7 linked regions of the Kluyveromyces lactis genome follow. The main gene of each other region encodes a partner of the protein of the gene in region 4 in a complex. Links are inferred from orthologs where the notes say so. Each region holds a gene or a part of one and is shown on either strand. Other genes may lie near its edges.

Region 1 (3,685 bases), about 1.0 Mb from region 4:
ACCCTACTATGGCATTAAGGTTAGACCAAGCCAACTTATTCAAAAGAGATGACAGGCACTTCACTTACAGGAAGGAAGATTATGTTGACGGTTATCTTTTCAAATCTTTTAAGATTCAGTATCTTGATACAAAGAATATCCAACCTACGGTGGAAGAATTATCAAGGTTCGGCAGTAAAGAAGGTGATGTCGATCTAGCAGCTATTGCTCAAACTATGAAAAAAGCTCAAGCTTCTAAAGCTATGTTTCAACCAGGTGACCGTGTTGAAGTGTTGACCGGGGAACAACGTGGATCTAGAGGTGTGGTGACTAGAAGTTCTAAAGACGTCATCAGCGTTAAACTATCGGGCTTTTCAGATAAATCATTAGAGTTCCCAATTGCATCTCTAAGAAAAATTTTCGAACTTGGTGACCATGTCACAGTAATAGCTGGTGAACATGAAGGTAACGCTGGTTTGGTTCTTTTGGTGCAGAACGGTCAAGTCACATTTGTTTCTGACCAAACTAGAGAAAATTTGACAATCTCTGCGAATAACTTGAGTAAATCTATGGATTCTACTCCGACATCAAGCGAGTACGCTCTACATGACATTGTTGAGTTAAGTGCCAAAAACGTGGCATGTGTGATCCAGGCTGGACATGATATTTTCAAGATTATTGACGACTCCGGTAAAGTGGCTACTGTTACTAAAGGCTCAATTCTTGCCAAGATCAATGTAGCAAGAGCGAAAGTAGCTGCTGTCGATGGTAATGGTAGAGAAATAAAAATTGGCGATGTAGTAAGAGAAAAGATCGGTTCCCGTAGAGAGGGACAAGTACTCTACGTTCAAAACCAACATATTTTCATTAGATCGAAAACAATAACGGAAAATGCCGGTGTTTTCGTTGTTAATCCAATGAATGTCGAGGCTGTCGCCTCAAAAGAAAACTTGATGTCGTCAGCATTGGATTTATCTAAAATAAATCCAAATATTGCGTCTAAGATGGGACCACCACAAACTACTCAGCAGACGCGGTTAGTTGGCCGTGACGTCGCTTTGAACAAAACTGTTAGGATACGTTCTGCGGGATACAAGGGGCAGTTGGGTATTGTCAAAGACGTCAATGGAGATAAGGCTACTATTGAATTGCACTCCAAAAATAAGCATATTACAATAGACAAAAGAAAACTTACTTACTTCAGTCATGAAGGTGGTGAAGGTATAACATACGATGAACTTGTTAGTAGACGTGGTAGAACTCCACATACCAGATTGGGCCCAAGCTATGTCAGTGCACCAAGACACATGGCTGCCGGTGGTGCGGTGGCAACGAACACTCCGCAACAACTTCCTGGTGGAATGACTCCTGGTTGGAATGCATTTGATGGCGGTAAAACTCCTGCGGTTGGCCAGAACGGAGGAACTTCATCCTGGGGTGGTGCTTCGACATGGGGCGGACAAGGCCCTGGTGGTGCTTCTGCCTGGGGTGGAGCTGCTGGAAACACTTCCACCTGGGGTGGGCAAGGTGCTACATCAACTTGGGGTGGTGCGTCCACTTGGGGTAATAAATCTAGTTATGGAGGCGCCTCTTCTTGGGCAGCAAGCGGAGAATCAGGAGCAGCTTCTGCCTGGGGCGGTGGCAATAAATCAAGCTATGGAGGTACTTCTACCTGGGGTGGTAACCAGGGAGGTGTCTCTGCCTGGGGTGGCAGTGGTAATAAATCACAACGATCTAAAAACACCGGTGGAAGTTCCACTTGGGGTAACAATCAATCGCAGCATAACTCAGGAGAGAGATCCGCATGGGGCAATGCATCCCAACACAACAATAGCGGCAATAGATCTGCTTGGGGTAATCAGGATGCTAGAGGTGGTGGAAGTACGTGGGGTGGAAATAATTAGAAATAATCATACAAGTTATTGCCTCACGATAATTTACAAACCTATCAATTGTTCATCTTATTATCTCCAAATTACTCCACGCGATGTGGATGTTGTATATATAGTCTTGCCCAAATTAGTCTCAGAAACCAATTAAATAAGTGAATTAAGTAAATGTAATTTAGTTAAAAATTTCGTTTCTTTACTACAAACCGATACTACTATAGAACTCTTAAATCACGTCTATTTCAACGGTAGTTATTGCAGTGTGAGTGTTTTCTATATACATGCAAATGGTGTGGTTAAATTGTTAAATACAATTCATTAACGTCTTGCGGTACGTAAGAAGTCCAATGGTTTCCTCTCTGCAACCTTTCTTTTCTTGGCCTCTTTGAACAAAACATGACGTTTAGCTACAGGGTCGTACCTCACCTGCGTCACTAATGGTGCAGCTCTATTTATCGTGACATGACGGCTCACACCTGTCATAGCAGTTGATATCAGTTTGATAACTGTAGTCTTTGTCTTAGCCTTGGCCATCGTTTTCCTGTTCGTTTGCAGTTTATATATGATATCCTTAGCTCTGTGAAATTCCTTGAATTTGAATTTGAGACAGAGAAGTACGCAGGATAATATTACTTTCTGCCCTTAATACTTTCCGATGATACACCGTCCTATGCAGAAATTGATGAACTCCCACTACTTTCAGTATTGATTGGGTCGGATACATTGCTAAAGAAGAAGTAATGGATAATCAAAATTTTGTCAAATCACTACATACGTTTTGATGAATATGCAATATACATAAAAATGATCCGTACTTCATATCACGTGAAACAGATACATATTCACAAGTCAAGTTAAGTATTCGCATATAGTTACTCTACGCTTTTATCAACAAGAAGGTATTAACTGAATTGATTGGTGTACACAGTACGGTATAATTAAGGTAACTAATTAGTGCTGGAGCTTACGGATCTCTGTTACACCCGTGCAACACGATATACATTACTGATGAAAATTTTGAAAATTTTCCAAAGCTCATCGCATAGAGACAGAGGCAAAATCAGCGAAAGAGAAGAGAAAAAAATGGAAATTCAAATGAGTTCTAAGTTACCTGCTAAAATAAACGTAATGGTAAGGTGACCCTAGAAGGTGCATAGGGTTTCATCCAGCTGTTTGATAGAAGAAAGGAGTATACTGCGCCAAGTGTATCCGATTTACGTGTTTCAATAAAGAACTGAAACAAAAATTTGAGACTATCATCTGTGCGAAGTTTTTTTCTTCAAAGAGAATTAATTGATATCGATCAGATTATCTACAGACCCATAACTTGAAAGGAGGATATTTGACATACCTCAAATCAGAATTGGGCTTCTTAATTGTTGATAGTATAACACGCGTCTAGAAATTAAAGGAATTTTTTCTACAATCCTATTTTTTTAAGGAGATAATACAAAGATTCACAACATGTCAGCTATTCCTGAACCAAGAATCATCGAGAATGACGATGGTTCCAAAACCGTCATCAGTTTCAAAATCCAAGATGGTAAGAAGTACAAGGTTACGCAGAAGGTTAAGGAAATTACTGTCACCGAGAAAGTTAACAAGAACATCGCCTTGAGAAGAAATTGGAAGAAATATGGTGCTGATAAGGGAGCTGCCCCAGGACCAGATATTTCAACCACTCAATTAGGTGAAGAATTAGAGTTAGACTTGTCTCCTAACTGGAAGGAAATGGAAGAAGAAAAGGCAAAGGAGAAGGCTGCTAACTCGACTCAAAAGGTAATTACTTGTAGAATTTGTGGTGGTGCGCATTTCAC
Region 2 (3,986 bases), on a different chromosome or scaffold from region 4:
AGCTAAGAAAAATGGTTCAAAGAAGATTGCAAGCAAAAACTCCGGCCAGTGACCATCCACTGTATATGCCAGTTTCTAGAGCACTAAGATACTTACGTGCAATCGAAGTCGGGCAACCAGCAAGCCAACAAACCATCACGTTAACTACATTGGTGGTAGCAGAAAGAGGTGTCCCCCCTCTTACAGGTAATGTTTCCTTCGGCAAACCTCTTAAAGATGTGAAAGTTGCTGTCTTCACTAATGACGAGGCACAAGCGGCTTTGATGAAAGATAAATACAGTGTTCATTTAGTCGGCGGTTCAGATTTAGTAAGTCAAATCAAGGCTGGTGAAGTCAGTATCGACTTTGACAAGGCTTTTGCAACTCCAGATATTGTTCCACAACTTGCTTCTCAAGTTGGTAGAATTTTGGGTCCTCGTGGTTTACTGCCAACTGCCAAGAAGGGAACCGTCGCCGAAGATCTTGAGCCATTGATTAAAGATAGTATGAGCTCTGTTCCATTCAGACAACGTGGTAACAGTATTAGTTTAGGTGTTGCCAAGACCCATTTCACTGACAAGGAAGTTCTAGAGAACTTGTTGGCAACACAGAAGGCTTTCAAACAATCTATCACCAATCAACAAACGAAAAAACCAAGCATATTGTCCCAAACTACGCTGACAAGTACACACGGTCCTGGTATTGTGATTGACTTTGCTTAATAAAGCAACCCAATTTTTATGAACAATAACTGGAATTGTTGTCCTTGTCAAGATAGAATGAAACTTACTTCAGAAATAATGCCCATGTACATAGAAATCGTTAATAGAAAAAAGATTCCTTCTGCAATTGATAACTATAAACCTATCCGATAGAATCATCTTAATGTCATGCCAGCTTTCTGATGGCAAAGCTAAAATCAAAACTGTTCCGTTTTCTTAAAATACATAATGACGATGTGGATATATATACAGGAGATTCAGCCATTCTTTATAATCAGGCGCTTCCATAACGTTCCTGGTTTGATTGGAAAGTTGAACAGAACTAATAAGTCAAATACCATCTGCCTTTATTCTTTCTTCTTTTAAGTATCTGTTGTCCACTTCTAGATCTTGCCCTTGCTAGGAACCCCACTCTTCTCTTTCTCTTTAAAGTACTCGGTTGGAAAGTGTTACCTCTACTTTTCCATCTTCTCTGAGTCAAATCGAACAACATACCAAATATTGATGAGCCATTTGCTTGTGTTTGAGATTGTAAAGTGATTTCCATTGGATTGACTTGCGCCAAAGGTCTATGAAGACGTGAGTCTAGTGTTCTTAAAGGTGAGAAACTAGAGAAACTGGTTAATGTACGTTTTGAGGTCCACTGAAGAAGATTTCTTGTTATAAAACTCATAACGACTGGATGAGATTTTATTTTAATTGTTCTTCACTTCGAATTAAATCCTTATCGATAACTAATGAGTAGTTCGGGCGACTACTTTTAGGAGACTTCGTCTTCAAGAAATATGTCCTGGTTTCTCTTCGTTTGATTTCTTTGAATTCAAATTTTTTCTTTCTCGAGACTAATGTAAATGTATGAAAATATCGATGGATGTTGGAAATAGTGAAAGCATCTGTGGAAGCGAACAAACTTGGCTTCTAGCAAACCGCTGAAACTTCAAATCGGTCTTAGACTAGTCTGTTACAATAAGTGTATTGGCGGTTTCATTTCCTGGCTAACATTATTATTAAAGTGTTTTCTATTTACATTGAGCTAAAATGGTAGCTGTAGGTAAATTATATATCACGTGATGTGTGTTCATAAGTCAATTATGTTCTTCCTCAAGGGCAGCAGCTAAGTTCTCGCTCAAATTTTCCTTCGACAGGACAAATCCGCCTCTAGCAAGTTCACTTATTTCGAACTTCCCATCTTTGAAAAGGTAAGATCTGCTGGCAACATTTTTATACAATCTTTTCGTTCGCCTATTGAGATCTGGGTCGTTAACTATTGACGTTAATATAGACTCTGCATCTGAAGTCAGCACCGGATTTTGCGAGTAGAGCAGGTCACTAATTAGCTTGACCTTTTTCTTAAACAAGTTATCGATCCTGATGTCGGCTATATCGAAACCATCAGGTTTCATTCCGATCTCAACGATTGGTGCCTGGAGTTTTTTTGTAGCGCATAGTTTCGGATTTGTCTTCAAGAAATAGTAATGCTCGAAAATTTGCCGTAGTGTCTCCTTTATCTTTTCTGCAGGGAGTCTTAATACTTCTGTAATTTGAGTTGATTGAAGACCGTCAATTCCTGTGATATCTTTTATAAGTTCCTCATTCGGAGTCTGCCAGTTTTTCGGCCGCAGCCACTTATGACGATTGAAGCTCAAGAAATCCAAAGCATCCTTATTGTTACGAGACCATAAAATCGTTTGAGATGTTAGATTTGGGTCATCCATTTCTAAAATCGAGTGCTGCATTTCATAGGGCCAAAATTTTGCCAACTCATTAGGGTATTGTCTCAATATGTCTACGTGTTTAGGAGGATCGTTCAACAAATGGAAATGAACAGAATAGACTAATTTCTCCAAGGTCTTGCGTGTTGGATTCTCATTGAAAGAGTTTAACCGATGTAGCGTTTCATGTTGCTTATTCTTGGGGAAAGTGTCCACCTTCGAAATGGCGTCTTTAGTTATTGAATGAAGACCCTTGTATAATTTCGAAGTTCTCAGAAGACTAGCCTTCATCGTCAACCTCCAAAACTGTTGTCAAAAAAATACGCACAATACTTCACAGTATGTCCATTCGATTATGACCTATTTTAAACAGTAATAACCTTCGTCTTTAGATTAATACAGAACCTCTTCCGAGCCTGTTCTCTGTATGAAGATCGTCATGTGTGTGCTCTAGGCTAGAAAATTTTCGTACCTACTTACTATTCCATATTGCAATTTGGAAAGCCAGACACGAAACGAAACCAGGAAGAACAGCGACACAAACTCACATTTTGTAGTAGGCACTGCTACTGCTCCTTGTTGACGTGGGCATAGTCTCAAAGCATCGCGACATTCCGGATTCTTTTGGAGTATTTTCATGAGTACTAAGCAATGAAGATGTATCCAGTATCACCGTAACATCCATACACCACATATACTCAGTTTGATTCACCAAATTCGATCAAAAACAACAACACAAATATACAAACATAACAAAAACTGTCTCAAAATTTACAAACAGTAAGAGCTCAAGGTCGTTCAAAGCCGAGCAATCAACGGTAAGATATTCCAATTTTGTCTGTTAAGCTAGCGTGAAGTCAGACTAGAAGAGATATTGGCTATATACAGATTCAAATAGCTATGCCGAACGAAGGGAAGGAGAATATCATATCCGTCCAAGATCCTGACAATGATTTGGGTCTGAGGACCCCTCTAAACCAGATGAAGCGGACGGACTCATTAGTACGGGGCAACAGACGCCCACTAGCTAGCAAAGATAATAACAGGACGCAATCTATACTAAGTGTGAAGAATAATGCTGCGTTGGGAAAGAGTGATCACCCTTTAAAAAGGCCCGCCAGTAGCTTTATGAAGAATATGCCTGAAAATAAACTGAAGAAATACGGAAGTGTCCTGGGGATGAACACTTTTATGCCACGAACGAAGTCATTGGTGCTGAAAGATACAGAGCTAAATGAAAAGAATGACGACGAAGATGAGGAGGATGAGGAGGATGATTTACCCATATTTCCCAGCGGAAAATCGTTAAACCTTGGGTTTGGCAACGGATTAAAAGCCCTTATCAGAGAGAAAGAAGATGAACTAAACATTGAGTATGCACCCAAGAGACAAAAAGAACTACCGTATATACCTAATGGGTACGACCCCTTTGATAAGGAATCCATCGAGAAACTTCAGCATCATAGATCTCCATTCCAGGTTGAATCAATAACGTTTGATACAGAAGAAAGAGATCCAGAACTTATAAGTTTAGCTGCTACAGATGAAGATCTCGTTTCCCCTACCAGGTATA
Region 3 (3,956 bases), on a different chromosome or scaffold from region 4:
AGAATCCCCCTTGAGATCTCCTTACTTCAACGAACGTTATAACCAGGGCCTGCCCTTGTTCAATGATATGCAAGATGAGTACATCCCAGATTTCGATTTTGCTGAGGCCGTTTCGCAGTGGCAAAGCTCAGATGATACCAATATGCTTTCACGTTTCAATACATGGGAACCAGACTATCTTGGTAAGCCACAGAAGGAATCAGTATTGAAACTAGACGATTTGCATTCCCAAGTGGCTCCTATCCCTTTACCAAATGTTAAAAATGAGCAACAGCCTCAAATTCCTATAGCAAGACCGAGCTCATCATCGTTATTTTCTGCATCGTCTCTGAGAACTCCACCTGCCCAAATTGAAATATCAGAACATGACCTAGATAGAATTATGAGATCTATTCCATCGGATTTCATCAATATGCCATTTTCCCAACGTAAGAAGATCATACAGGATTTAAGTCCCAACCATGACTATAAGACTATTATGAACATTTTGAAACGTGAGAAATTAAGCCACAGTGGCTCAACACATAACGTGAGATCCAGACATGGATCAGTTGCATCGAAATACTTGAACTCTTTTACCCCCGGTTCTAGTTCTTTCAAGAGGGACGATAAAGGGTCTTTCATTTTGGGTCATAGACTTGGCAAAATAATAGGGTTCGGCGCTTGGGGTATGATCAGGGAATGTTTCCCTTCTACAGATGAATCTCAAAACCAGAATAATACTTGTTGCAAGGCGATGAAGATTATCAAGTTCAAGGACAATCGAAGTGTAAAGAGGCAAGTACTACGTGAAATCTCAATATGGTCGAAACTTTCCCACAATAATATTCTTCCTTTAACAAAATGGAAATTAGACGATGATCTGGTGGCATATTGTTTAACAGATAAGATCGATCATGGAACCTTATACGATTTAGTTGTTTCTTGGGGCGAATGTGGTAATTCAAAGATTAGTTTAAGAGAAAGGTGTCAAGCTACATCCGCCTTAGCGTTACAATTAATTGATGCTGTACAATATATGCATTCTAAATTCATTGCACATGGAGATATAAAGTTGGAAAATTGCCTTCTAGAAAAAAAGTCTGAGAACTACAAAGATTGGAAGCTTGTATTATGCGATTTTGGCATGAGTCACTTTTATGGCCATTTCAAAGATCAGATGGAAAATGAATCAATTCAACTGAAATCCCTATTTGATGGGTCTACTCTTCACTTGAAACGAAGACCCTCAATTCCAAGATCTTCCTCTTCAACGAATAATTCTTCTTTACGGTTGAAATCAAGGTTAAGACAAATAGTGAACGATAAAAAATTAATTCATGATGATACGACTTTGGGTATTCACTCCGTACCAAAGAGCACTCGTTCTAACCTAACCAGCTCGTTGAACCAAAAAACAGACATTACATTAACACCTAACAAAGATTTGCATGAACATATCAACGATGACATGAGCAGAATTGGCTCTTTACCATACGCTGCTCCGGAGTTACTAGAACCCAACCCTCCTCCCATTGGACCAAGCGCTGATATATGGGCCATTGGTGTTTTAATTTTCACCATGCTTACCGGCAAATTACCTTTTAAACATGAATACGAGCCCAGACTTCGTGCAATAATAACTTCAGGTAAATATGATAAAACGACACTACGCCAAGTTTGTAACTGTGATATGAACTCGAACTTGGGTGTAGATGACCAGGTGGAATTCCAAGGTCTATTCAACGCAGTGAAGGGCTGCTTAACGAAAGACTTAACCCGGAGATGGGAACTTGATATGGTGAAAGTAGCTCTGGGTAAGCATTGAAACTAATCCTAAACTAACAAAATATTTTCTACTATTCTGTCCTTGTCAGTTATAACCCTTAATTTTTAATTCAACAAGCATACCAATAGCATTAATAGTAACGCATACTGTTACATTGACCTTTTTTCTGATGTTTTACCATTCTCAACAGCATAATACTTAATAATTTTACTGAAGTATATAACGATAACTAATGAAAACACCAGCTGTCTTAACAATGACGGCGTTGTAAGCACTTTATTTGTATGTAGTAAGCGTTGATAATGGCGTTGATTAGCCAATAATAAATCAATCACGTGATATACATCAATTATGGGTTAAGAAAAAATTTGATGAAACCAGACATAGAAAGCTTTAATCCTTTCTCTAACGATAGTCCAGGAAGAAAAGCTGTGCTTTCCCGATCAGTAGCAGCCTGCAGCACACGACCTAACTGAAGTTCACACTGTGACTGTTATAACATGATTTATTTGAAGTCTTTTTTGAAAGTCATTGACAACTCAGGTGCTCAAATTGCCGAATGTATCAAAGTACTTGGAAAAGGTTCGCCAAAATCTCCAGGTAGAATAGGTGACAAAATCGTCTGTGTGGTGAAGAAGGCTAAACCATTAACACAAACTATTACTGGGCAATCCAATAACAACAGAGTGAAGAAAGGTGATATTGTACACGCTGTGGTGGTACGTACCAAGCAAAGAAATATGATACGTCCTGATGGATCAACAATTGCGTTCGGTGACAATGCTTGTGTATTAATCAACAAGAATAATGGTGAACCTCTAGGGTCAAGAATTATGGGTAACGATGGTGTTGTCGGCAGAGAACTAAGGGAAAAGGGCTACAACAAGATTTGCTCTCTAGCAAGTAAAGTTTTGTAAATATGTTTCACCACTGGTAAATATCGATTACGACTGCGCAGGGCTTTTAGAATCATGTATATAGATAATAAAAAATAGAAAATATCGTTAGTAAAGTTTATGAAAATGCCATGATAAATATGATGGATACGCGACTACCAACTTATTGCTCATTGACAGTGATATCAATATTTTATAAGTGTTTCAAAGAGATGTATGTTTATCTTAAATATAGATAAAAATGATGCGAAAGAAACTAATCTAAATCTGCCAAAGTAGCAAGGCCTTCAGCTATGAAACAAATTTTGGTGTTACACCGGCCTTGGTGGATATGTAACGCAGCATTTTGTCCTCTTCATCCACGAACTTTTTAGCAATGAATCCACCGTTATCCTTTTATTCGGATCAACTTGGAAGATATGATAAAGTGCAGCAGTTCTGTACCGGTTCATACCTGGAGACACATGTTTCATTTCGTCAAATACATAATATTGTCCATGTTTTTCCATATCCTCGAGGAATGCGTCATATACTGAATCCTTGCCTTTGATAGCAATTTTCCATAAATAATGGCCTAAAACCATAACACAGTAGATAATACCACAGCTCCAGCAATCAACTAGTCTTGGATCGTATTGTTGTTTTGGAATAAACTCCTCAGGCGCAACATAAGGCTCAGATCCTGCTGGTCCGGTTTGGAAATGTGCTTTCTTTTCCCAGGCTGTTTGGAACACAGAACTTGTACCAAAATCACATATTTTTAATACACCTGTAGGGAGAAATAGCAAGTTTTCTGGTTTAATATCACAATGAGCTACACCGTGAGCATGCATGTATTGAATACCATGTAGTAGTTGTTTCATGAAGCAATCTGCTTCTAATGGATGTAAAACTGAATCAGATTTTGAGCTTCTTGTAATCAAGCTGTATAGATCACCTGAAGGGCAAAATTCCATTACTTCATAAAATGCGTTAGGTGTTTGCATTAAATCAATAACGTTTAAAATGTTAGGATGTGTTCTTGCCGAAGATCTTCTGCTTTTGTTACCACCACTCAACGATAATCCTATCACAAATTCTGAGGTTAGTCTTGTGCTAAACTTCTTTGGAGGCTCATCAGGTCTTGGCTTCAGTTCTTTTACCGCATAGAATAACTTGTTATCATGGAAATATGTATTATCTTTCAGATCAGGTTCATCTGGGTCAATAAATTTATAGCATAGTTTTACAACCCCATAGGCACCTTGTCCAATGATACCGATCGACTTCCCGTATTTCTCACATAAATGCTG
Region 4 (4,284 bases):
ACCCAACCCAAGCATGGCAACGTTAACATGATCTAAAAGATCCGCAGGAAGTGTAGATTTCTTCAAAAACTGCCAGAGAGTCCCCTGAGCCCGTCCATTACAGTTCTCTCTTGCGTTACGCGGTAGTTCTCCTTGTCCAGTCGTAGAGCAGATGATAAACAGGTACTTGCACTGCAGAACGCTTTTCGGATGGTAATCACCGATCTTAATCAATGTATGTGAGAAATGCAGTCTCTTTAACTTATGAGAAAGAATATGCGCAAAATCTTGCGCATTTCCTGTCTCAGAACCATACAATATGACAATCTTCTTGTTCTGCATGGTTTCAGTAGTCCGAAATACTTCTTAGCAGCTTTAAATGTGTCTTGAATCGTTTACAGTATATAATCTTTGATGTTCATCACATGTAATATGTAAGCTATCTCAGTATTTTTCACCTTGAAATCTTGCTGTTAAGAGAGATATGCGATAATAACGATGAACAGACGATGAATTAATGACAGTGTCGTTGTATTTCTTCTTAGATAGTGTTCAAAAAGAACTGTATGGTTACTAATTACCCACAGATCTTATTGATCACTAACCGTTACATATTGAAATGAATTTTTTTTATACTATTAACATGAAATCGCATCACTAGTAAATACGACGAATTTATATATAATATTTTGTATCTTGGTTATCTCAGTTCAACGCCGTATAGTTTCACCAGGGTATCACGAACTTTATCCTGCAGCTCATTGACTTCCTCGTTGGTGACGTTTCTGTCCATTGATTGATAGTTAATACGGTAACATAATGACTTTCTACCGGTTTTGGGGTGTGTGAATGAATCAATTAATTTGACACATTCAACCAAATCTCCTGCTACGTTTCTAACGATTTCCATTAGATCATTCTCATGGATAATGTCAAAGTTCTTATCTGTTGGAAGCCAGAAGGCCACGTCCCTGATGGTACCTGGATATTTAGAGTACGGTTTGAATTTGTTGATTGTGCCCTCTTTGAATTGGGAATGGAACCTTTCGTCAAGGGTCCAGAATAATCTGATATCAGGGATCTCGAATAATAGCATTGCAATGCGGTCAAGGCCTAATCCAAAAGCCCAACCGATGTTTTGATTTTGTTCATATCCAGCTTTTAATAAAACGTCTTCACGGATAAGACCGCAACCGCAGAGCTCAAGCCAATTGTTTTGCCAGAACACTTCAATTTCCCATGATGGTGCAGTCCATGGGAAATAAGCTTGAATCCATCTAACCTTCAACTCTTCTCCCTTCACGTTACCCATACTTGCCAACTTTCTCTTGAAGACTTCCAATACAACAAGCTCCAAAGATCTTTTCAAATGGCGAGAACATAAATCGACTTCTTCCATCGTCATGTATTCCTGCTTTGGATTACCTTCCAAGGAAACGTTATCTTCCACGACAAGTTTCACTGGGTCGTCTGCCAAAGTTTTCTCCAATCTCTCGAGATCTTCTTTAATCTTTAATAAATGTTGGTTATCCGGTTCCCTTTTCCAAACTCTACCACCTTCCATTTGATGGAACACCGGATAATGAGTCCTGTCAATCTCATCTCTTCTATAGACATCGGCAGAGATTAAAAATCCAGGCTTATCAGTCTTACCCACATGGCCAGGAACAAACCCATTGATATTCTTGAAACATTCCAACTCATGGGCAGATGTATGCGTTCTTAACAGATGACAATCGTTCAAGTAATAGGTATCAGATTTCGATCTACCGGGGTGATCTTCTGGGAATCCCAAAGAATCAAAATTCTCATGTACCGTAACCGCAGGTTTGAAATCGTTATAGATCTCGAATGAGTGATGAGGGTCGTTCAGCTTGTCCTCGATAACACTTCTTAAGATCCCAACAGGGTGTGATGGTTTCAAATAAACAGCGCGATCAGTCAAATTCAAAATCGAACTAGTTACATTCGTCTTATCTGATACTGGGTACGTCTTTCCATTCACAGAAAGTGTCTGTAATGCCACATTGGAGGTGCTAAACAACCTTAAACATGGTCTCAAAGTTGACAATATCGTCCTATTCGACATCGTTTCGGTATTAAAGAACCCTTAATAACAGTAAAACTGGGGCAATTCAATCAACAAAACAAAGGTAATCCCTTAGCAATGATATTACTAGTGATATTTCACTGCCTGAAATCACCAGAACAGGTATATCAAGTGTTGTTTAACGAGACTTTTGTATCTTCTTTTGAATGTATGTAGAAGGTCACATGATTTCAAGATATCTTCAACTTCACCAAAAATTTTTCAATAATGAAAAGCTTTAAGAGTAAGTAAAAGAAGATCCAGAGCATAGAAATTGATTTGAAAAGCAGCATAAAACAGTCCCTCGCGCCTCATTGCAAGGATCTTATTTCAGATCAGTGAGCCTCCTTTATCGTAAATTAGATCACCATGTTTTCCAGCGTTTTCAAGACTGGATTTCGCTCACTAAATCCATTAGAAAGTCTGCAAGTAACCGCTAGGCGTTTTACACATGAATATGCTCCACGTTTCAAGAACCAGACTAAGAAGCAAAAGGGTCGTGTGCCAGTGCGTACCGGTGGCTCTACTAAGGGTAATTCGCTTCAATTTGGTCAATTTGGTTTAAGATTGAAGTCTGAAGGTGTGAGACTTACTGCGTTACAGTTGAAGGAAGCCGATAATGCTATTATGAGATACGTTAGACCTTTGAATAACGGTCAATTATGGCGTCGTTTGTGTACAAACATTGCTGTTTGTATCAAGGGTAATGAGACCAGAATGGGTAAAGGTAAGGGTGGATTTGACCATTGGATGGTCAGAGTACCCACCGGTAAAGTGATCTTTGAGATGGCAGGTGACAATCTACACGAGAAAGTAGCACGTGAGGCGTTTAGAAAGGCAGCAACCAAGCTTCCTGGCCTATACGAATTCATATCGAAAGATTCTCTGGTAAGAGTAGGTATCAAGAGTGTAAAAGATCCAAAGGACGATCCAAAGATCAATTACTTTGAAGAACTAAAGAAGAAACCTACAAAGGAATATATTACAAAGTTGAAGTCCCAGCAACCGGAATATAGAATGTTCAGGGCTCGTTGAAATAGATCGATGTGTGTATATAAACGACTCTTTTACGTATAACTTTTGTGAGAGCTAATCCCACTATCTGTAAATAGGCTATCAAAGATTCAAGATTTAAAGTCCCAAATGAGTAAAGTTTGGTTGTTTGTCAAACTACAAAAGTTAATACTTACGTATATTTATCTATTTCACACATTGTCCTTGCAATGAACCCTTCTAAATGGTAGATTGCTTTGTTTCCAAGGTTGAGACGGTGATCAAAAGTGCATGCAGTATCGATAATTGCCAACTTCAACGGATCTGACTGGGCATCTGAAAGCAATTGCGTCGTTAATTCATGGACTATGGTTTTGGCAGGAATACAATGGGCTAATAGATCATAATTTATGGAACGGCATTCTACAAGGTTATTAACAGTTCTTTCTTTTAATATTTTCCTAGCCATTTTATGGATCACCAATTGCCAATCAGGTCTGTTCAAAGGTGTATCGTTTCTTAAATGCAATTCATTTTGTAGTGAGGTAGATTCTAGTGCTAAGAGTGACATTCTCAAGTTCCCCTTTGACAGATTCGCTATCCTCTCTAGACAATTGCCCTCGGCAGTTATTTTTTCTTTGGAACAACAATCCTGCAGGATAGACACAGTTTCTTGCAAACTTGGTGATGGTACTCTAACTAGCAAGCAACGAGACTTGATAGGAGCAATGATACTGGACATTGAATCACATAGCATTATAAGCCTGATGTTACCAGAGTATTTTTCCATAGTTCTTCTTAATGCTGCCTGGGCATCTCTAGTCAACGAGTCTGCCTCGTTGATGATAACGCACTTGTAACGATGTGCCAAACCATCCTTGGAGTCCTGGAAATCTACTTGTTCCATTTGAGCGACTTCCTTAATCAATTCTTGTATCACAACACGATCGTTGTTACCAATATCGCTCGGAGTAATCTCTAAATGGTAGGGACTACTGACTACATTCAACTCCAGCTTACGGTTGGATGGTGTGACGAACTGTCTAACGTCGATCTTCAGCTTGTAAACCCCAGAACCAAATATTTCTTGCAACAGTGCCATACATCTAGTCTTCTTACCAGCACCATTGGGTCCATAGAACAACAGATGTGGAAGATCTTGAGGTTGTCTCGTTAATGAGTACAATTGATTTGTTAATTCTTCATTGTAACTTAATGACTGT
Region 5 (4,429 bases), about 600 kb from region 4:
CGAATGCTCGCTACTATTCTTGTAGTTCTGGCTTCGATATTTATGTTGAACTGAAAAAAGTAAGAAACGCGACAATTCAATAAACCGAAATCGTAAAGAGAAAGAAAGACGCGTAAATGTCATCACATTAGAAGCTACAAGACCTGTGTTATCCATTAAAGCTGGTGAGCCTACGTTAGACCCATATACTGAGATGGTGGGGAAACTTTTCTTCCAACCTGGAGAACTGGTTTTGAGAAACAGTCTTCATTGTGGACAGTCATTTAGATGGGTGATTCAAGAACACACGGGTTTTTTCTACTCGACTCTAAAGTTAGATGATAGCTATGATTTGGTGATGTTGAGACAGCTTGATGACAATTGTATTGAATATGACTGTTACAAGAGGGCGAACCTGGAGAAACTTGAGTCACATCTCAAGGATTACTTTGAACTTGATGTATCTTTGAACAACTTAATGACTCAATGGTCAGATGCTGATCCTAAGGGATTTCAAAATAAGGAACATAGAGGAGTGAGAGTACTGAACCAGAATCCCTGGGAAACTTTATGCTCTTTCATTTGTTCTAGTAATAATAATATATCAAGAATCACTAAAATGTGCCATTCCTTGGCCACTGAATTTGGTGATGAAATTGCAGAGTTTGATGGTGCTAAGCAGTATTCGTTCCCAAGTTCGGATCAGATCGTAGAAAGAGCATCTGAAGAAAAACTAAGAGATCTTGGCTTTGGTTATAGGGCCAAATATATCATTGGAACTGCTCAACTGATGTCTATGGAAAAAGGCGATATGTCTGATTCAGAGTATATGCTCAGTTGGCGCATTAAGGGTAAAATGGGGTATCAAGATGTCAAAGAGAAGTTGATGGCGTATCCAGGTGTGGGTCCGAAAGTAGCTGATTGTGTGCTTCTCATGGGAGGGTTGGGATTTGACGAGGTAGTTCCTGTCGATGTACACATCGCAAGGATTGCATCGAGGGACTACAAATTAAACAACACTAAGCAGGAAATCAGTGAACTGCAGGCTGAATACAAAAAGTTACCGATTACACGTAAGAAGGTGAACTATGAACTTGATATGTACAGAAGGAAGCTCCAGGATCTATGGGGCCCATACGCGGGCTGGGCACAATGTGTCCTTTTCGCACAAGAAATTGGGAAAACAGTTGGAGCAAGTACAAGTGATAAATTAGTGAAAAGACGCAAACTGGACTATGATGCATCTGGAGAAGAAGAAGACTTTAAAGTTGTAGTCAAAGACGAGGCAGAGATCAGTACGGAAGATTCTTTGTCCACGGTTAAAATTGAAGATACTATGTCGATAGAGTATAGCATTACTGGGAGGCCGCTACGGAGAGCGGTAAAAAAGGCTAAAAAGGTCTATTGAATTAATTGACTGCAAATAAAACTCTCTTTAAATACAATTCTTATTCGTCAAATTAAAGTGTTGTCGAAGGAAATTTTTTGTTTTATATTCCGTTATTTAAGTTGGTGTATACATATGTACAGGAAGGCTGGGTTCATCCAAATGGACGGTTACACTTATCTCTTTATACAATCACTTCGATGGCATTAATATCATAGTGTATTAGCGTTGTTTTTTGCATCTTCTTCTTGCAGCTGTATTTCCGCTTCTGTTACCTTTGCCATTTGAGCCTCAGCTAATTTATTAACATATTCTTGAACAGTTTCCAATTCATCGTATCTAGACACAGAGGAGCCATTTTCTCTCAACTCCCTTACCGCTTGACATGCTTCTGCGATGGCAGATTCTGTGTTTTCTGATGTATACAGAAGGAAGGATTCACCTGCATCCACAATTGTATTGTTAGATTCTTCTAAAAAGTTCTTGATGTCCTCGTTTCTTAGTGCAAATTTCTTTAACTTCAATGTTGCAACCGCTTTCAATCCATCCACAAATGTTCTGTCCACTTTGTTCTCATCGATGTACTCAGAGATACCGTATATGGCATATTGAAAACGTTGCAATGATTCGAAAATCTCTTCATCTTCGTTAGCAGGAGCTTCTAAAAAGTCTTTTTCGAATGATTCGATAAATACTTGTTTTTCAACAGCAAATTTCTCATTCGCTATCTTGAATGCCCAGTCTCGTTCGCTAAGGACGTGTCTTATTCTCCACATTGTCGTTCTGATCTTTTCGGAGATATCTTGGTATGCTTCGGTTTGTGCTTCAAAGTTGAACTGCACCAAATGGTTTTCACGTGCTAATACGTTACGTTCTTTCAAACATGTGTACCACAAAGAATGTAGGTCAGTGAACGATTTTCTTCTCAACTCTGGGATGGTCCAAGGTCTCGAAAGCGTATCCAATTCCTCGGGCGTTCTTAAAAACTTCTTCTCGGAGAAAAATTGCCATAAAGGATGATCATCTGGACATGTCAAATTGGCAGCAGCCGGTGGAATAGGAGCTGTAATCTTTAAATCATTATCGTGATGGGTCCTCTGGGTAGGTAGTCTAACGTTCTCTCTCTTGGCTGGTTTGGGTTTAGGTTTGGTGAATCTCGTCCTGGCACATGCTCTAGAAGTAGTATGCAATCCCCTTCTTGCTGGGAACATTTTGAAAATATAATATCCCTGCTATAATAAACACGTCCTGCAGCTACTCAATCGAGGTAGAACACTTCAATATCACGACAGCTAGCTGATTCATCCATGTTTTAATTCCTATTCAGCTTTCCTCTGCTTAAATGTTATAAAAATTTTTTGATCGAACAGAGTTGATTCGGGGTCCGTCATTAGGTTGCCCGGCCTTTGTCATGTGATAGTCACGTGAATATCAGGTTGACTATTGACTCTCTTAGTGAAGCATAGTGCAATAAGATGATAAACTAGCATCGCATATCCTGGCCATCTTTCAACAGGTACAGTATCATTCAAAGATGGTTGGAAACGTGTACCTTCCCTGGTTTAACTGATTATTCTATAATTCAGAGCTTTCCATTGACATCGAAATTCAAAACTTCAACACTTTTTATCAATTAGTACGTTAACAATAATTTGGTGATTAAGTATGTTATGGAGGATGCTCTGGAGTGTGAATGGAACTAAGCCTTGGATTGTATATCGACTACTCTACTATACCTGGTACTCCATTTGATAAACTGACAAAGGAAACCATTCAACCTAACTGCTGTACCCTCTATCAATTGCATTATTGGTTATTGTAAGAATACGACTGCATCATAAATATAGAAGACATACACACTTTACGCCGCAAAGATGTCTGATACGCCTCTGGATCTATTAAAATTGAATTTAGACGAGCGAGTATATGTGAAATTACGTGATGCTCGTGAATTAGTGGGTACTCTTCAGGCTTTCGACTCACATTGTAATATTGTTCTTTCAGATTCAAAGGAAACCATTTATGAACTAGTAGAAGGAGATTTGAAAACGACCGAAAGGTTTTCGGAAATGATTTTCGTTAGAGGTGGTCTTGTGGCCCTTGTAACAACACCAGAAGATGAATGATTGTCCAGTATCCTTCTTCTTCTTTCAACATTTAATAAGGGAAATTCGAAGAAATAACTTCATGTCCTCATTATTGATTGAGTGCGATGTGAGCTATCCTCATTTTGCCCCCAATATACATCCATCGCTAACATTTGTATAGTATATATTTAGTTTATTCAATTTTTTTTTAACTTTCGGTTTACAGTTACTTAGAAACTATAACGTTAATTGCCATGGCTTTGATTTTATGTCCTGCATGTCCACCATCGACAAATGTGGGTAGCGTTTCCTGTTAATTCGTTTTATATACTGTTCCGTCTTTGTAACATGTTTTCTTTGTCGGCATAAGCAGAAGTTGTGGTACCCGCAATTGGCGGTAATTCGTTTTTCTCTTGCAGATGTTGTAAAAAGTCATGACCGTACGCGTAGCCTACTTGGTATATTTCTTCAAACTTACCAAAATCCAAAGTCGCATAGTTCTCAATAGGAGGCCTGATGTACACCACACCTGGTGTACTTTTAGCCCTTTCTAAGGCATTGACAGAAGCAACATATCCTAATCTCATTTGTATTTCCGCCATATTAGGAATGTTGGGGTGTTTCGAAAATGGATTCCATCTATTTAAAACAATCCAAAATCCGTTCAAAGAGTCTCCGTATGACATTGGAGTCCTATCATCGACTGATCCAACGTCTACTGCAAACACAATTTTACAACCTCTCTGTGTCATTTCGGTCACTGGTAAGTTGTCGACATAACCTCCATCTAGTAACATATTACCGTTATCCACAATTGGAGGAAGAAGGCCCGCAAGTGACATAGAAGCTCTAATATAACGCCATGCAAAACCTGATGAGTGAATCTCTTGAACTGACTCTGTAATATTCGTCGAGTTACAGTAATATGAAATCCAAAAATCTTCAATCCTGTAGTCTCTAAAAGATTTCCATATAC
Region 6 (4,624 bases), on a different chromosome or scaffold from region 4:
TGGAAAAAGAATTTTTTTTTTTCACTCTCAATATGACTCAGCTACACCATTCAAACCTTTGATCCACCGTTCCATCCTTCTATGAAGCACTTCTCTCATCTGCTTTTGTTCTACTTTCCCCATATATATAAGTTATAAGTGGGTTTTTATATCTGTTTCCACTGTGTATATTCTTTCTTGGTTACACTTCGTCTCTGTTCCACTGAAAGGTTAACGAACTCAGTCGAAAACCTTCTTTAAGCAATGCTAAAAACTAGAGTGGTTCCTCTAGCATTGAGAAGCTTTGCCAGAGCAAAGTCTTCTTCGACTTCGGCTCTTGCTTATAAGCAACTGCATAGAAATAAGGCAAGACCTCCTTTACCAACGATCGAAACTCCATCTTGGTCTACTAACAGTGCCATCTCATCGATCCTATATGAAAATCCAGTAATCTCAAAGGAGCCAAAGAAACAACATGTTTTGAACTGTTTGGTTCAAAACGAGCCAGGTGTTCTATCGTTAGTCTCAGGTACTCTAGCTGCAAGAGGCTTCAATATCGATTCCCTTGTGGTCTGTAACACTGAAGTGAAAGATTTATCCCGTATGACCATTGTGTTGCAAGGTCAAGACGGTGTCATCGAACAAGCCAGAAGACAAATCGAAGATTTGGTACCAGTATTTGTCGTGTTGGATTACTCTCATTCCACCATCATAGAAAGAGAATTGTTGATGACAAGAATCTCTTTGTTGGGTGCTGAATACTTCGAGGATTTGATTCATCACCATGAACAAGATGAAAATACTGATACCGTTGAAAGAATAAGACAACAGCAATTCCATCCTTCCAACCTTCCACTGTCCCAAGTATTGAGATTGAAGCATGAACATTTAAACGACATCTCTAACTTGACTGGTAACTTTGGTGGTAAGATTGTTGATATCGCTGAACAAAGTTGTATTGTGGAATTATGTGCTAAACCATCCCGTATCTCTGCATTCTTGAAACTTGTGGAACCTTTCGGTATCTTGGAAGTGGCAAGATCAGGTATGATGGCTCTACCAAGAACCCATTTATCTGTCGGTGATGAAGATGATGCTCAAAGCAAGATGAATGACATCGTTGATATCTCTCAATTGCCTCCTGGTTGATCCAAAGGGCTCACCTGCCATAGTTTTGTACCTCAAAACAATCCAATATCAAAAAAATAGTAATGTAAGAGTATGTTTTGGATTTTGTCTCACACATATAGACAAATTAAATACGTTAACGATATAATATGGAATTAACCTTTCCAAATGATATATAGTCTCTAAAAAACTTTCGTTTTTTTCAGTTTAAACTATGATGATTGTTGTGGTTCTTTTGTTAATATGTACAAGGCTCTAAATGGTTTGTTACGTAACGACTTGGGGAAGATTTACAATTTGCTCAAGAAATCGGTCTTTGGTCTTGTAATGACATCTATCGTGTTTTGTTCGTAGTTGTAACGTCTGGTGGTTAGATTTTTCTTGGAAGGTTTGAGTGGTTCTTCCAATTTCTTCAATTCTGTTTCTGGTTTCACTGGCTTCAAGAATTTTCTGCGTAGTCTCACCTCTTCAGATAACGTCAAGAAGTTCTTTGCATCAGTAAACTTGGCTAGTACTTGCTTCTTACTGTTCTTGTCCTTAATATCAATTGCCTTCAAATCAGTAATTAGTTGTGTCTTTAGAGTATTCTTTTCTTCTGGAGAAATGTATTTAGTTAATTCAAGCTTGTTGTTAAATGACAATGATTCATTCAATTTGGTCGAGACCTGTTTCAACAATGTTAGTTTGTCGTCCAACTTAGATTTTTCTTGGTTTCTCATCTTCAATTTAAGTTCTTGTTCCAAATAGTAGTACGAATTAAATCGGGCATCGGATTCATTGAACCCATTCTTCAAACAAGTTCTCCATCTGAGCAAATATGGTAATGCAAACGCAAGTTCTTGTTGATCCAGCTCAACTTTCAGATCTGAAATTATCTTGCTGTATTCTGCCTTCAACTCTTCACGTTTAATCTCACGTTCTTGCTGTTTCTTGATCAATTCATCCTTCAGCAAATAAATCTTTCTTGGTAAAGCGTTCTCTTCTGCAATGGCTTTCTCTTCATCCTCAATGATGGCCTTGCCGAATCTTCTCAAACGTGGTTCGAAATGCGGCAAAGGAAGCTTTACATCCTTGTATAATGATACACCAATGAATTTCTTACCTGGATGAAATGGATCCAAATAGTATCTCACATAACCCGGCTCCAAAGCGAAAAGCGTATGATCTTTACCGATGCCTACATTTTCACCAGGATAAAACTTGGTACCACGTTGTCTCATGATGATCTCACCAACTTGAGTGGCTTGACCCTCGTATTTTTTTGGACCCAATCTACGACCAGCAGAGTCCTTCATACTGGTACGAGAACCTGCTGCACGCTTGGTTGCAGTACGCACCTGCTGCACCACAAACTTGGGAACTTGTTGCCACGAAGATGAGAACATTATGCGTTGTTTCGTAGGCCTGGTCCGAACAGTATCAAGCAATGTCACAGTAACTGTATTTCTGCGTGTATCTGTACTTAATGTATTTAAGATAGGATTTTAGTGACAAAAATTTTCCACAGTATGGCGGATTGTAAGGTAGGGTAACAACGAAATCCAACAAGATATAGCCCTTCGAAGGTTCGTGTAACTGACTGTTTAAGAGTTGAAAGTATTGATTTATACATTTTACCAATTTCATCTATTGCTGAGAGTTCTTTCGATACCATAGTGAATTTTTCATGCTTGAGAAGGAGTAAACGTCTAATTCACGTCAAAGTTATTCGAAACTGAGGTTCCAATTAAAGATCTACCATCACTATATACGTTTTGATGTTCTCTTCCAGCACGAAAAACTCATATTTCTCTAAGTACAAAACATCAAGAAACCGACACTGCTTGCATCGAAAAGAAGTCTTCACCTTTCAGATTTACGTTTGAATAAACAGGACGTCCATTTATAGAAGTTTCCCAAATTAATTATCGTGCTGGTGAAGCCCATATTATCTAATTGAAATAGGAATACTAAGAACCGACAGCCCATAGATAAAAAAAAAATAAAACAAAATATATCAGTGATTCTAGCGAAAATGGCAACGGAAGATAGATGGGGTCTTGCCGTGACTCAATTACAAGATCTATATAAAATAGGAGATATTGCGGGGTTTGAGTCTTTAGATCCGAAGAATATGAATTTCCAGAATATGAATTTGAATCAATTGGCTGATATCCATGAGAAATTAGAGGCTCGTCAGTCTGTAAATGAAAAGATGAGAAATTACTGCAGAGATTTGGTAGAGAACATTTCATACATATTAGATAATTATCCAGTGGAAGAGGAACCTATATTAAAGGAGGAATCCAGTTCGACGCATATCCCTGAATCGAGTGTTGTTGGTAGATCACATTGGACCAGTCAATTCAACCCAAGTGAACCAATTGAGGTTGGTTCCGAAGTTGCATATAAATCTAAAAAGACTGGCGAATGGATCCAGTGCATATGCACAAAAGTTTCTGGGGACGGACTCCGGTTTGAAGTGAAAGATCCAGAACCCGATGAATTTGGGAAACCAGGTGGTATATTCAAATGTAACTCGAAAGAGATCCTCTTGATCCCGCCCGTGACTATGAAAAGAACCCAGACTCCGAATTATCCAGCGAATACAAAAGTTTTGGCAAGATATCCAGAAACAACGACTTTCTATCCAGCTATTGTTTGCGGAAGCAAAAGAGATGGGACATGTAAGCTACGATTCGACGGTGAAGAGGAAATAGACAAGGAGACTGAGGTGGAAAGAAGATTAGTTCTTCCTTTCCCCTCTAGACGATGAGTTTCTTAATTATATCACGTTCACGAAATGTATGTAATTTTCCATAGCCTGTAACAATAAAGAAAAAAAAATTATGAAAGAACATTAAATAAACCGTATCACATTGAGATAATGTAGGAACTAGTAGCGGTGCCTGTTTGTGATTTATCGCATCAGACGCGACAGACATTAAATACCATAGTTCTAGTTTCTTATTGTCGAATATTTTGTATATGATTCATGGTGTACCTTTTTAACAAAGTGACACTTAAATCAATAACAAAACTGTGTTTTGTGCTATTGTTAGTGAATCTGGTTCTAAAACTGATGAAGGCTCCAATTTTGCCTTTATTATTCCGGATATTAACCACCTGCCCAGCGAACAAAGATGTATGTATCTTTTGGTGGCAGAAGTATTCGATAGTAGAACAATGGGTATGGAGGTTGATTGATTATATTGATTCAGAGAGACTTCAGGTTCCACATGAACAAGTTTAAGTCACCATTTCAAAGTACATCTAGTAAATCGTGATTGCTTTGCAGTAATAATTTTGTAAGTGTCTCTTACAAGTCAGTGAGATATATAAATCTGTATAATATTATGTTTGTCATTACAGAGGTTGGGTTTGTGCTGTTGTTCTAAATATCAGTGTTTAGCTCAACACCACCAACGGTCCAGATTTCATTTTCATCTTCAAATCTATCAGAGAACATCGCCTCGGCATCTCCACCGGCTGCAATCTTGTCTCTTTCAACAGCAGCTAGTCTCTTACCAACTCTCTT
Region 7 (4,222 bases), on a different chromosome or scaffold from region 4:
GTCCTTTTAGATAAACAGAGGTTCCAAACTACGTTGTCTTCTTTTGAGAGAGGGGCGGTGCACCAAATACGTGCACTGTCTTACCATGAATCATGTCTACACTTTTATAATCATCGATATCTGTGCTGCAATCATAATTATGTCACTCATCTCACTTTCAATAATTCTTTCCTCAGTGCAATGTATTCCCACAATATATTACTGTTCCTCGTTTGATTCATTTGGTTATACGGTCTTATTCCAATTCTAGGTCCTTTGTTACTGATATCTCCCTCAAAATATTCGTTCGTTCGCTAGTTTCTTCGTTCATTCATTCATTCAAATCACATACCTGACTTAACGGCCATTTTGTTACTCTTTGTCGTTCGTGATGGTATTAAAACAACAGATTAAACAAGCTGTAACACTACCATATATCTATTAACAGTGTATATATTGATGCTCTAATCGTCAGAAAATTTTTATAATACTTTGAAAAATTGTGAAAAGCTGTAGCAGTATAGAAGTTCCAGAGGATGATTACCCGGAGGAGTGTTTGGGAGGGTATGGGAAGTGAATGGAAACCATGAGATGCCTAGCCTGGGGTCTAAGTGGGCAGTCCAGCGGCCAGTTTGGTGGAATGTCCAGGCCCAGACCGGGCAGTCCAGCTTAGGGAGGAAACGGGACAGGCCCTGCCCAGCTCGAAGCAAGCAACGAAGACGGATGGGATGTGTCTGTGCATCCTACCGTCAGCTCAGCGGATTTGGTGGACATGAGAAAATAATTTCCTAGTATGGAAACATTCTCATTTTCAGCAGAAATTGAGTATGTATGGGTGCAACAGTCAATAATGTCTGGGTGCAACAGTCACATGCACACCGTTCAATTCAATTGAACAGTGGGTGATTAACTCTTGCATCGGTCAGTCGGACAACTAACGCATAGTCTTCAAGCATCCTCCCAGCTCATGGTAGAATCTATTTTCTCATTGTTTACAAGCTTTTATATAAAATTGGAACAAAATCTATTCAGTTCTCATACAGTAATCGTACTCAAATCGAAATTCAAGGCCTTTAATCTCGATACGATGTCTGCCACGTCACGGGTAGCAAATTGGTCCATGAATTTCTTAAACGATAGATCTAATCCATCCGCTTTGTGTTCCATCTTTTCCAATGGGAAAAGGGTATGCAATAGTTTACGCTTACCAGCAGTAATTCTCAATGGTTCTCCATCGACAACAACTTTGTACAATACGGTGACTTCGTTGCCATTGGCATCTGTGACAGTCTCAGCGTCCTTATGTACAGGATTGGCAGCTTTTTCCTTAGAGTTCAGTAGTCTGTAACGGAGTTTCCAACCAGTAGGTCCCAATTCCTTAATTCTGGCGGCCTTTTCCTTAGTCAAATAGTTGTCAATACCACCTTCCTTGGTAATTGTTCTTAAAACTTTTGCTGTCATCTTAATACTAATCTTTCTGTTCAAAGTCTCACTCCATAGTCCTTTTCTAATAACGTTTGGACTCCATGATCTCCTGGTTTTTGTCTTCGATTCAGCGATGTTATTACCGAATTGGATGAAAGACGCACCGTATAAACCTTTGTTACTCTGTTTGTAAATTGGAGATTCTCCGTATGGATAATCAGGGAATTCCTTCTTCTCCTTTGGGATATATAATGGCTTGCTGTCGCCGACTTGATACGTCTTTGGAGTTGGGATCTGTCTGCTTTCAACTAATCTCCATTCTCTGAGGAGGTGGCTAAGAGTGGAAAACCCTCTTTGGGAACTTGGAAAAAACTTCATTCCAGATGAACGATCTCCGTGCTTATTGGTGAACGTACAGAGACTCTTAGACCAACTAGCTTCATACTAGGTTCAAGCTCCTTCTCTTCACCTTAGTGCATGTATCAAGTCGTTATTTTCTAAAATTTTGAATAAGCTTTGGAAAGATCAAAACCGTATACAGCGAGAATGGTAAAGCATAAGGAAATTTATGATTAGAATACACCTCTGCGTAATGGTTGGCGGTATCATGTATGTATGAAGGGTATGTATATATGTACGGCTGGATGGATATTGTGAATGAGGTCCCTGTTGCAATTTTTCTCATTTCTTCCATGGTGATTTGAAAGCCCAATTCCCGAGACGATTTCCCTTTGGATTGGTGGCATCTTTGGTCCAAGTCTTACCTGTGCGTAATTCATAGTTCTCTTTTTCTAATTCGTCAAGGCGTGTTCTGAGCTCTTGATTTTCGTCCATAACTTCCAGATTTCTTTCCATTGTTCTATTCAAATCTGCTTTCAAATCTGTGGGAATTTCAGCATCTGGATTAGGTAACGTTTGTTTATAAAGTTCACGTTCCAGTTGTTTCTTCAAATCTTCTATCTCTAGTAATAAATCCTTATTTTCGTCCTGAAGAGTTTCCATCCGAAGTCTGTTTTCAATTAGTTCATTGGCAATAGTGATATGCTCTCTGTTTAATAGCGAATAGTCATTTTCTAATTTCTTCAACTCTTTTTGAAGCTGTCTGTTTTTAATTCTTTGTTCCTCATATTGTTGTTCCTTTTCCGTTTCCAACTTGTGAATCTCATCGTACTCTTTCACGTAACGCTCCAATTGCAATGGAGTTAATTTGATTTCCAACGAATCAGAGATGAATCTATCAATATCGTACTCTTCTGGGTTCTCCTTAGAAGCATAGTGTTGGAAAAGGTCCTCCTTCAAGAAGTCTAAGAGAGAATCGAAACTGAGAATGATCAAATTACGACTGTTCTTTAACATCAACGTTAAACTGAATTTTAGCATCGATTCGATACCTTCAAGTATGACAATATCCATGATTCTGAGAACGAATTCAAGGGGAAATTTGTATGCGAACATCGTCAGGAACCATTGAGTTGCAAACATTGTAGATCTTATTCCCTGCCTGATCAAATGGTTATACAATTGAGGATCATTTTCCTCCAAAAGTGTATCAAATTGGTACAATTTCAACATCAGGCCAGGCATTCCCGGCAAGAATAAATCCCTTAATCCGTATACTTTCATGAGTTTCGTTAATAGAGAAAACGCTTGCCATTCTTCTTCACAGTTCAATATTAAAGTAGTAGCAATAAAACCCATGCCCTGTGTGTAACCAACTGGTGGGTCATAAAGAGAGTAAGCCTTGAGCACGCTGAATAAAGAATCTGTCTTACCTTCTGGGATGAACTTCGTTCTAGATAAATCTCTTTTGATTGCCTTTTCATGCGGTGACTCCAATAGAAGTAAGGAACAGTATAACTCCTCCATCTCCTTGTAATTTGAACTGGTTAGTAGCTGCCATATAATACCACGGACTTGAGTTGGGATACCTTTCCCTACTTCAGTTTCTAATTTCTTTGAGTCATCCTTGACTATATCGCTAAAATTATGAACCAGCTTACTCCAGAATGGCCAATCGTATTGTACCAATTCTTTGTCCGCATGATCTAGTAAGCTATCATATTCTTCTCTTAGTGTCTTGGTACCTTCTTTTGCATGCTCACGCTCTTTGTCATCTCTTAGTTCCAATTCGGTTTCGTTTTGAATGAATCTGTTCAATATCAAATCGAAATCACTGCTGTCGGAACGTTTATGCTGATTAAAATGAGCACGAAACTTGGGAGACTTCATTTCCTCGGACAATGGTGGAGGTACGAAATGTACAGGTCCAGATAAAGACGTTGCCACATGAGATCTTGAAGGAAGTGGTGGTTTCTCTCCCGCAATGTGGTCCCTTGGAGGTAAATGTGGTGGCTTAGTTTCGTTATTGAATGACTCAATCTTCTGTTCTAAAATCTCTTGCTTGGATTTTATCACACTCTCATTAGATAAACTATCCTTATCAGTATCAATTGGTTCGGTTTCATTATTAACAACCTCCACTGTATCTGGTGCTTCACTTTCTACCGTTGAACTATCCACTGGTTCATCTGCAACTTCTTCCTTCACCTCAATAGCACCAGTGATAGGAGGAGAATCTTCATTATTCTTCTTTTCCGTAGCAGCAAAACTGACATCAGTCTCCTTTATTTCATTAGCACTGGGAGCACCGTCATTAGCAGGTGCGTCTGCTACATCCGGCTGTTCTGTTTCTATTTCTATTTTGTCCCCTGATGGCTCAACATTCTCGGACTCATCTAATGGCAATTCCGCATCATTTGATGCCGTAGATTTAACATCATCTTTAGTTTCTACCTGATCTGTCATATCTGAACAGTAT

The links.
Region 1: MRPL16 (region 4) and MRPL39 share a complex: the UniProt entries of both Saccharomyces cerevisiae proteins name them as parts of the mitochondrial large ribosomal subunit. The link is inferred for Kluyveromyces lactis from reciprocal best matches to the Saccharomyces cerevisiae genes MRPL16 and MRPL39.
Region 2: MRPL16 (region 4) and MRX14 share a complex: the UniProt entries of both Saccharomyces cerevisiae proteins name them as parts of the mitochondrial large ribosomal subunit. The link is inferred for Kluyveromyces lactis from reciprocal best matches to the Saccharomyces cerevisiae genes MRPL16 and MRX14.
Region 3: MRPL16 (region 4) and MRPL38 share a complex: the UniProt entries of both Saccharomyces cerevisiae proteins name them as parts of the mitochondrial large ribosomal subunit. The link is inferred for Kluyveromyces lactis from reciprocal best matches to the Saccharomyces cerevisiae genes MRPL16 and MRPL38.
Region 5: MRPL16 (region 4) and MRPL4 share a complex: the UniProt entries of both Saccharomyces cerevisiae proteins name them as parts of the mitochondrial large ribosomal subunit. The link is inferred for Kluyveromyces lactis from reciprocal best matches to the Saccharomyces cerevisiae genes MRPL16 and MRPL4.
Region 6: MRPL16 (region 4) and MRP7 share a complex: the UniProt entries of both Saccharomyces cerevisiae proteins name them as parts of the mitochondrial large ribosomal subunit. The link is inferred for Kluyveromyces lactis from reciprocal best matches to the Saccharomyces cerevisiae genes MRPL16 and MRP7.
Region 7: MRPL16 (region 4) and MRPL24 share a complex: the UniProt entries of both Saccharomyces cerevisiae proteins name them as parts of the mitochondrial large ribosomal subunit. The link is inferred for Kluyveromyces lactis from reciprocal best matches to the Saccharomyces cerevisiae genes MRPL16 and MRPL24.

Annotation. Positions count from the first base shown.
Region 1 is NC_006038.1:66,440-70,124, reverse strand, and holds MRPL39 (mitochondrial 54S ribosomal protein bL33m), read right to left. Parts: upstream 2,403-3,685; coding exon 2,187-2,402; downstream 1-2,186. Other genes in the region: transcription elongation factor SPT5, read left to right, coding at 1-1,883; TIF35 (translation initiation factor eIF3 core subunit g), read left to right, coding at 3,333-3,685. UniProt on the Saccharomyces cerevisiae protein: Component of the mitochondrial ribosome (mitoribosome), a dedicated translation machinery responsible for the synthesis of mitochondrial genome-encoded proteins, including at least some of the essential transmembrane subunits of the mitochondrial respiratory chain.
Region 2 is NC_006042.1:1,780,212-1,784,197, reverse strand, and holds MRX14 (mitochondrial 54S ribosomal protein bL34m), read right to left. Parts: upstream 1,375-3,986; coding exon 1,024-1,374; downstream 1-1,023. Other genes in the region: MRPL1 (mitochondrial 54S ribosomal protein uL1m), read left to right, coding at 1-701; GEP5 (Gep5p), read right to left, coding at 1,787-2,704; PDS1 (securin), read left to right, coding at 3,314-3,986. UniProt on the Saccharomyces cerevisiae protein: Component of the mitochondrial ribosome (mitoribosome), a dedicated translation machinery responsible for the synthesis of mitochondrial genome-encoded proteins, including at least some of the essential transmembrane subunits of the mitochondrial respiratory chain.
Region 3 is NC_006037.1:612,711-616,666, forward strand, and holds MRPL38 (mitochondrial 54S ribosomal protein uL14m), read left to right. Parts: upstream 1-2,268; coding exon 2,269-2,685; downstream 2,686-3,956. Other genes in the region: protein kinase NNK1, read left to right, coding at 1-1,807; putative serine/threonine protein kinase KKQ8, read right to left, coding at 2,976-3,956. UniProt on the Saccharomyces cerevisiae protein: Component of the mitochondrial ribosome (mitoribosome), a dedicated translation machinery responsible for the synthesis of mitochondrial genome-encoded proteins, including at least some of the essential transmembrane subunits of the mitochondrial respiratory chain.
Region 4 is NC_006038.1:1,063,554-1,067,837, forward strand, and holds MRPL16 (mitochondrial 54S ribosomal protein uL16m), read left to right. Parts: upstream 1-2,437; coding exon 2,438-3,103; downstream 3,104-4,284. Other genes in the region: TAH18 (NAPDH-dependent diflavin reductase), read right to left, coding at 1-321; MSF1 (phenylalanine--tRNA ligase), read right to left, coding at 680-2,068; RFC5 (replication factor C subunit 5), read right to left, coding at 3,255-4,284. UniProt on the Saccharomyces cerevisiae protein: Component of the mitochondrial ribosome (mitoribosome), a dedicated translation machinery responsible for the synthesis of mitochondrial genome-encoded proteins, including at least some of the essential transmembrane subunits of the mitochondrial respiratory chain.
Region 5 is NC_006038.1:466,689-471,117, forward strand, and holds MRPL4 (mitochondrial 54S ribosomal protein uL29m), read right to left. Parts: upstream 2,578-4,429; coding exon 1,579-2,577; downstream 1-1,578. Other genes in the region: 8-oxoguanine glycosylase OGG1, read left to right, coding at 194-1,387; U4/U6-U5 snRNP complex subunit LSM3, read left to right, coding at 3,241-3,492; NTE1 (lysophospholipase), read right to left, coding at 3,777-4,429. UniProt on the Saccharomyces cerevisiae protein: Component of the mitochondrial ribosome (mitoribosome), a dedicated translation machinery responsible for the synthesis of mitochondrial genome-encoded proteins, including at least some of the essential transmembrane subunits of the mitochondrial respiratory chain.
Region 6 is NC_006042.1:1,139,114-1,143,737, forward strand, and holds MRP7 (mitochondrial 54S ribosomal protein bL27m), read right to left. Parts: upstream 2,493-4,624; coding exon 1,398-2,492; downstream 1-1,397. Other genes in the region: ILV6 (acetolactate synthase regulatory subunit), read left to right, coding at 244-1,128; SGF29 (Sgf29p), read left to right, coding at 3,122-3,862; GCN1 (Gcn1p), read right to left, coding at 4,481-4,624. UniProt on the Saccharomyces cerevisiae protein: Component of the mitochondrial ribosome (mitoribosome), a dedicated translation machinery responsible for the synthesis of mitochondrial genome-encoded proteins, including at least some of the essential transmembrane subunits of the mitochondrial respiratory chain.
Region 7 is NC_006040.1:1,063,947-1,068,168, forward strand, and holds MRPL24 (mitochondrial 54S ribosomal protein bL28m), read right to left. Parts: upstream 1,783-4,222; coding exon 1,015-1,782; downstream 1-1,014. Other genes in the region: KLLA0_D12540g (60S ribosomal protein eL36), read right to left, coding at 332-347; KLLA0_D12584g (uncharacterized protein), read right to left, coding at 2,086-4,209. UniProt on the Saccharomyces cerevisiae protein: Component of the mitochondrial ribosome (mitoribosome), a dedicated translation machinery responsible for the synthesis of mitochondrial genome-encoded proteins, including at least some of the essential transmembrane subunits of the mitochondrial respiratory chain.